2 linked regions of the Saccharomyces cerevisiae S288C genome follow. The gene in region 1 interacts genetically with each later gene. Each region holds a gene or a part of one and is shown on either strand. Other genes may lie near its edges.

Evidence for each region.
Region 2: mutations in PSR1 (region 1) and TIR4 together harm fitness more than expected from each alone (negative genetic interaction), as found in Saccharomyces cerevisiae (2 studies listed by BioGRID).

What each region holds. Positions count from the first base shown.
Region 1 is NC_001144.5:128,874-132,628, forward strand, and holds PSR1 (phosphatase), read right to left. Parts: upstream 1,741-3,755; coding exon 457-1,740; downstream 1-456. Other genes in the region: rRNA-processing protein SOF1, read left to right, coding at 1-119; copper metallochaperone COX17, read right to left, coding at 2,332-2,541; DRS1 (putative ATP-dependent RNA helicase), read left to right, coding at 2,856-3,755. UniProt on the Saccharomyces cerevisiae protein: Has phosphatase activity in vitro. Involved in the response to sodium and lithium ion stress (but not to potassium or sorbitol stress) by inducing transcription of the sodium pump ENA1/PMR2.
Region 2 is NC_001147.6:342,538-346,292, forward strand, and holds TIR4 (Tir4p), read left to right. Parts: upstream 1-1,797; coding exon 1,798-3,261; downstream 3,262-3,755. Other genes in the region: YOR008C-A (uncharacterized protein), read right to left, coding at 320-544; TIR2 (putative GPI-anchored mannoprotein), read right to left, coding at 3,658-3,755. UniProt on the Saccharomyces cerevisiae protein: Component of the cell wall. Required for anaerobic growth.

The sequences.
Region 1 (3,755 bases):
TGCCATACATTTCCGAAAGGAAGAAACAAATCGTTGGTACCGTGCACAAATATGAAGATTCAGGAAGAGATAGGAAAAGAAGAAAGGAAGATGACAAACGTGATACTCAAGAAAAGTAGTTATTCTGTTTTATGTTGTCTGTATATACACATATGTACAATATTTGCATTTTTTTAATTTTTAATTCACATGTATTTGATAAATGTTCACGCCAGTCCCGTTAAATTAAAATTACCATTTTATTAGATTATGAATTTATATATGAATACATTGTGTCGTAATGGTAGAAGAAGTTGAAAAAAAAAATGTCAAGGGACAGCATGGGTACAGTGTGTTGAGCCAAAAAAAAAAAGAAAAAAAAAGAAAAAACTTTTTGTTCTCTGGTTCTTTTCTTCATCTTCTTCATCTTCATTCTTTGGTAGCGGGGGCCACAAGAAATTCGGGCGAAAGTGCTCATTATATTGTTACATCCAAAATTTTGCCCACATCCAGTGAGGTTTTCACAGAAAGGTCTTCTAAAAGAGGAATAATATCTAATAATTCGTTATCATGAGTATCTGAGAACCAGGACGAAATCGGTATTGCATGTTGGGGATGAAAAATATAAGATGCCGGAGAGTTATCGAGAATGATGATATCTGATAACGGCCTTCCAATCTGGGATAAGTTTTTTATATAGTTTCCTTCATAGTTATAGCAAGCCTCTCTGAATAATCTGTGATGAATGACTTTATCTGTGTCTAATATATCAAGCAAAGGATCACCGTATCGAGAGACACTAGCCGTGAAGACTACAACCTCGAATAATTTTCCGACTCTTTCCAAAAATTCTTCCACACCAGGTCTTTTAATGACATAGACATTGTGTACTTGGTCATCTATTTCCACAGACAAAACAAAATCCGCAGATCGTAAGTATTTGAAAGAAGAGTGTACCAAGGTTTCATCCAGGTCCAGTATTAGGCATTTCTTGCCCTTTGTACTTTCATCTTGTGGGGGGAGCAGAGTGTTGTAACCTGGTGCATGATACTGGCCCTGCTGCAAAAGCGTTAGATCAATATATTCTTCATCTTCATCGTCTTCGTCGTCGGCATCGTTGGAAGTTTCACTGGCTTGAGAGCTGCTACTTACCCTACTCAAATTCATATCTTGGATAAGATGGTCAGACGATACTTGTACAGTAGGCCCTCGCTGCTGCGACTGCGACTGCGACTGTGACTGTGACTGTGACTGGGGTTGTGGTTGTGGTTGTGACTGTTGTTGTTGTTGCTGCTGTTGTTTTTTCTGCCTGGAAGTATCTTTCACAGCATCTCCTTTTTCCTGTACAATGCCACGACTGCGACGGTTATCTTCATCGTCGATCTCTTCATCTTCGTCAACCTCGTATTTTTCCTCGTAAAGATCATCTTTACTAATTCGCTTCTCTACTTTTGTCATATTATTAGTAGTAGTGGCGGTGACGGCTGCAGTCGGCGACGATGGCTTCTTTTTTTCATTATCGTTCGTGCTTATCCCAGATTTACCGGTGGATCGTTCAGTGGAACTGAAAGTAGCGGCTGAATTTGTCTTAGAAGGAGGAGAGTTTGTCTGATGTACGCCACGGGTTCGGCTTTTCGTGTTGGAATGTTTAACGCTTCTGTTTTTATTGAGAGAACTGCTCTGTTGTTGGCGATAAGCAGAATTGGAATTGGATTGTGTCGTCTCGGAAGAGCAGCACAGTATTGACGATATGAAACCCATACTGTTTTGCTACTTATTGTTGTTAAAGCTTACGAACACGAATGTAGGCAAATAAAAAGCTTGGATAAACGCACAATGAAAGGGGAAGTGCGATTGATTATGCTATAAGGAATGACACGAAGAGAGCAGACTATAGGCTAGGCAGGCGATAAAGGAAGGAGTTGTACTTGACGACAACGTAATAAAGAGTTCAATGAAAGAGTATTGTGAGCAGTATGGTTCAACGAGCACTTCTTCTCGACACCTATTTCTATACTTTTTCACTTAATATACACTAACTAATCCCAGACTTTTTTTTTTTTCCGTTCTTTCCAGAAAAAAAAGAAACAAAGCAAGCGTGCCCTGACTTAGGGTTTCCTAAAAAAGTTATTAGGTTTGTGTCACGTGATACGTCCTTTTCTGGTCACGTGGTCTTAGAACACTCTTAAGGGGCCAAGCACAAGAGGACAGTGCTAGCAGTAGAAGTGGTGTAGTAGTGATGAGGTAATGTTAATTGTGCATCGCACATATTTACAGGTAGTATATACTATAGTTTGTGAATACCTATTCTTATATATACAAGAAATGGTTGTCGGCAGACTGTCAGTAAGACTAATTTGCACTTGGAACTTCGAAGCCATAACCCTTCATGCACTCTTTGTACTTTTCAATGAATTCCTTGCATTTTTCAGAGTCTTGTCCATTGAATAAGATGCATGTATCCCGCTCCTCCTTTTCTGGCTTACAAACGCAACATGGCTTAGGTTTGTCCTCGCACTCCGCGTGGTTTTCTTGTTCTTGTTTCTTGTCAGTTTCAGTCATTGGGTATAATTGATTGTGTAGTTATCTGATTGTGTACACTAAAATTTTGTTTAGTTGTACTAGAGACAAGTAGTTAGGTGGTTACTAGATTCTGATTCGCCGCTATATATCGTCATTTTATCTTTTTTTGAAGGAGATAGGTAGGGTTATAACATTATCCGGGTAATGATTTGAAAAAAAATTTTCAAAAAATGCGATGAGATGAGGTTGAAAATTGTAAGTTAGAATATGCTTAGATAGTATGAGTATTTACGTTGGTAACTTGGGTTTCGAATTGGAGCTGTGTGCCTACAACAGCGTCTTATATATATACTATGGTGGTAGGAACTAAAAAATACTCTAATTTGGACTTTGTCCCTACAATCAGTGACAGTGAAGACGATGTTCCAATTCTAGATTCTTCTGATGACGAAAAAGTCGAGGCTAAGAAGACTACGAAGAAGCGGAAGGGTAAGAATAACAAGAAAAAGGTTAGTGAGGGGGATAACCTCGATGAGGATGTTCATGAGGACTTGGACGCGGGGTTTAAGTTTGATTTGGACGCCGATGATACCACTTCGAACTTCCAAGGCTGGAACTTTCTAGCAGAGGGCGAGTCCAATAAGGACGATGCCGAAGCTTTTGTGAAGAAGGACGTTGACTTGGATAAGATTATTAGAAGAAAAGGTGGGCTGGTGAAAATGGCCCATATTGATAGTAAACAAGAAGAAGAAACCGAGAAAGAAAAAGTAGAAAAAGAAAACGATAGCGACGATGAGGAATTAGCAATGGACGGGTTCGGTATGGGAGCTCCCATGAACAATGGAGACGAAAATCAGTCAGAAGAAGAAGAAGAAGAGGAGGAAAAGGAAGAGGAAGAGGAGGAAGAGGAGGAACAAGAAGAGATGACGTTAGAAAAAGGCGGCAAAGATGACGAAATAGATGAAGAAGACGATTCTGAAGAGGCAAAAGCCGATTTCTATGCGCCTGAAACTGAGGGAGATGAAGCTAAAAAGCAAATGTACGAAAATTTCAACAGTTTGTCTTTATCTCGTCCGGTTCTTAAGGGCCTTGCAAGTTTGGGTTACGTCAAGCCTTCCCCTATTCAAAGCGCCACAATCCCCATTGCCTTATTGGGTAAAGACATCATTGCCGGTGCTGTGACTGGTTCCGGTAAGACTGCTGCGTTTATGATTCCCATAATCGAGCGTTTGTTGTATAAACCAGCCAAAATC
Region 2 (3,755 bases), on another chromosome or scaffold:
TTTACGGACAACGAGGAGCTTCTTTCTTGTTTACCTTGATTACCCTTTAAGCAATAACAATATCAATACGAGATTTTCTGTAATGTTAGTGCCTGGTCGAGTTTACTGTATCGTCCAAGAAAACTACACTGCGTTAAATTCTTCCAAATGAGGCTATGATACGCCAAACACTTTTATTTTTCCCCTCCGTTTCTCTCGCTTTCGCTTCGAAAATTACATTATTTTCTTCCCCATGCAGCGTTATTTCCATCTTCAGAGAGGAAAGGCGGAGAAAATTTTTCTTGAGGAAGGAATTCTACGAAAGTAGTCAACTATATTACTAATCGTTTGACATAGAATGCCAAAGTTGCAGCTTTTCCACTAACGTCAAATTTGCGTAACAAGCGCTGCTGTGTAAACTGTCTTGCTTTTTAATAGGACTGACAAAAATTATAAGCGGAGAGATAATATTTAATACTGCCATTGACCTTAGTACCGGTACAGGACAATATGTTTGTATCCTTGGTGTCATAAAGAAGAGAAAAACAAGATAAGATCTCCACATTATTTTGCAGAAGGCGACTTTGGGGGCCGATGATATCTGCTTCCAGAAGTATGTAAAAAAATTACACACCATTAAGTTCTTATGTAAACCGAAGTCTGGAAGAGAGGTGGTGGAATTTCCAGTCTGCTACTAGGCAAAAAACTTGAAACACTTTCATATATGATGTTGTTTTGCCGAGCTATTACAAGACGATTTATCATAAACTACTTGCTTGAGCAGGAACGATTTCACAATCTGTTTAGCAGGTTGTTATGAAGTAGACACGATAAAGTTCTTGAAGAAAGATTGTGGATGGGTTTGCTGAAGCTTAGAACTAAGAAAAGAAACAAGCACGCGCAAGAAAACCGCTACGGCTAACTTCTAAGGTGAGGATATTGTGATTGTTTATGCCTCATATTTTGCGTTTTTATATGTTCTTCCTTCATACGGCGTGCAAATTATCCGCCGGCGAACAGGGTGCTATTCTAAAAGGAACTTTGAAACTGTAAACGCGGTGTACTGAAGGGGTCATCTGAACGAACAATATTTTATGCTTTTGTTAGCCAAACGGTACTGATAAGGGACTGTGAAAAAAAAAAGACAATGTATGGGGTTCACGGTTTCCCAGATTCGTGTGTGTGTAATAATTCGTTTACGGCGCACGACAGACACTTCAGGAAATTTAAAGATCAGAATAGGCATACACTCCGCGCAAGGAAAACAAAAGTTGCTACCGTAACCGGCTCGTACGGGGAAAGCAAGGTCATCTAGTGCTCACTTACGAACTGGCATAATCGAGTTGTGACTTCCAAACTTAACCGTACTCTCACAGCTGATGTGATCCGAAGAAAACCCTGAAGATACAACAATGGCAACCAAAGGCAACTTAAAAAGGCAAACGAAGTACTTTTCAACAATAGCTTACACTGAAACTCGCGGAGAGGCGACGCTGCGCGCGAATTATCAGTAAAAATCTCGTAACAACCCATCTGCCACTTTTAGAAGGAATGGAAATTCTCAAAAAATGACGGAAAATAATAGAACAGGGTTCCTAAACGATGCATTTCTAACAAGTAGGATAGTCCAAAAGGGAGGATGCAAATTCTTTGTTTTCCACGCAGTAAGATATGATCCCAAGCTTTCGAATATAAAAAGGGAAGGATCGCTAGGACAGATCAGTTTTTAGCCCGTTTACTTATCTCGTTCCCTACTCTTGTTCTGATAGAAACCAGCAACAAAAACCTATTCACTCGCTTATTAATACCATAAAAAATATGGCTTACTCTAAAATCACATTACTAGCCGCTCTTGCTGCTATTGCTTACGCTCAAACCCAAGCACAAATCAACGAATTGAACGTTGTTTTAGATGATGTTAAGACCAACATTGCCGACTACATCACCCTATCCTACACTCCAAATTCAGGTTTTTCCTTGGACCAAATGCCAGCTGGTATTATGGATATTGCTGCGCAATTGGTTGCAAATCCAAGTGATGACTCCTACACCACTTTGTACTCTGAAGTGGACTTTTCTGCTGTTGAGCATATGTTGACTATGGTCCCATGGTACTCTTCTAGACTGCTTCCAGAATTAGAAGCAATGGATGCTTCTCTAACTACCTCAAGTTCTGCTGCCACATCTTCAAGTGAAGTTGCTAGCTCTTCTATTGCTTCATCCACTAGCTCTTCTGTTGCACCATCCTCAAGTGAAGTTGTCAGCTCTTCCGTTGCACCATCCTCAAGTGAAGTTGTCAGCTCTTCCGTTGCACCATCCTCAAGTGAAGTTGTCAGCTCTTCCGTTGCTTCATCCTCAAGTGAAGTTGCCAGCTCCTCTGTTGCGCCATCCTCAAGTGAAGTTGTCAGCTCTTCCGTTGCTTCATCCTCAAGTGAAGTTGCCAGCTCCTCTGTTGCGCCATCCTCAAGTGAAGTTGTCAGCTCTTCCGTTGCACCATCCTCAAGTGAAGTTGTCAGCTCTTCCGTTGCTTCATCCTCAAGTGAAGTTGCCAGCTCCTCTGTTGCGCCATCCTCAAGTGAAGTTGTCAGCTCTTCCGTTGCTTCTTCTACAAGCGAAGCTACTAGTTCTTCTGCTGTCACATCTTCCTCCGCTGTTTCCTCTTCGACCGAGTCTGTTAGCTCTTCCTCTGTCAGTTCTTCCTCAGCCGTTTCCTCTTCTGAAGCTGTCAGTTCCTCTCCAGTTTCCTCAGTTGTTTCATCTTCGGCCGGACCTGCTAGCTCAAGCGTTGCTCCTTACAACTCAACCATTGCTAGCTCTTCTTCCACTGCCCAGACTTCTATCTCGACCATTGCTCCTTACAACTCCACAACCACCACCACCCCAGCTAGTTCTGCTTCCAGCGTTATTATCTCAACCAGAAACGGTACCACTGTTACTGAAACTGACAACACTCTTGTCACCAAAGAAACCACTGTCTGTGACTACTCTTCAACATCTGCCGTTCCAGCTTCCACCACCGGTTACAACAATTCTACTAAGGTTTCAACCGCTACTATCTGCAGTACATGCAAAGAAGGTACCTCTACTGCAACTGACTTCTCTACACTAAAGACTACAGTTACCGTATGTGACTCCGCCTGTCAAGCTAAGAAGTCTGCTACCGTTGTTAGCGTTCAATCTAAAACTACCGGTATCGTTGAACAAACCGAAAACGGTGCTGCCAAGGCTGTTATCGGTATGGGTGCCGGTGCTTTAGCTGCTGTTGCCGCCATGCTACTATGATTTTAGTACGTGTCGAAAATGTTCGTTCCGCTTATGATTATATTATTATTTCAACTTACCAGTTAATGCTTAACTTTTAAACTGTCATATGTACTTCTCTGTATTATATAAAAACTGACAACTGGCCTTTTCTATTGTTGATTTCTTTCATCCATCGTTAAATATTTTCAGAATGTGGGCAGGAAGACATGCATGTTTGAAGGTGCCTATCCTAGCATCATCATAAAAGAAAACGGTAAATCATTTCCGTTTTCAAAACGTACACTACAGCCTCCAGTTGATGAAATCAGTTCTCACAATAATTCGAGGTTTAAAAGAAACAGTAAAATTTAAAAAAAACTATTCAATAGATAAATTGGTATATACGAACATTAAAAATTCCATTTAAAAATGAGATTATAATAACATGGCGGCAGCGGCCATGACACCAGCACCCATACCGATGACAGCCTTGGCAGCACCGTTTTCAGTTTGTTCGGAAACAGTGCTAGTGG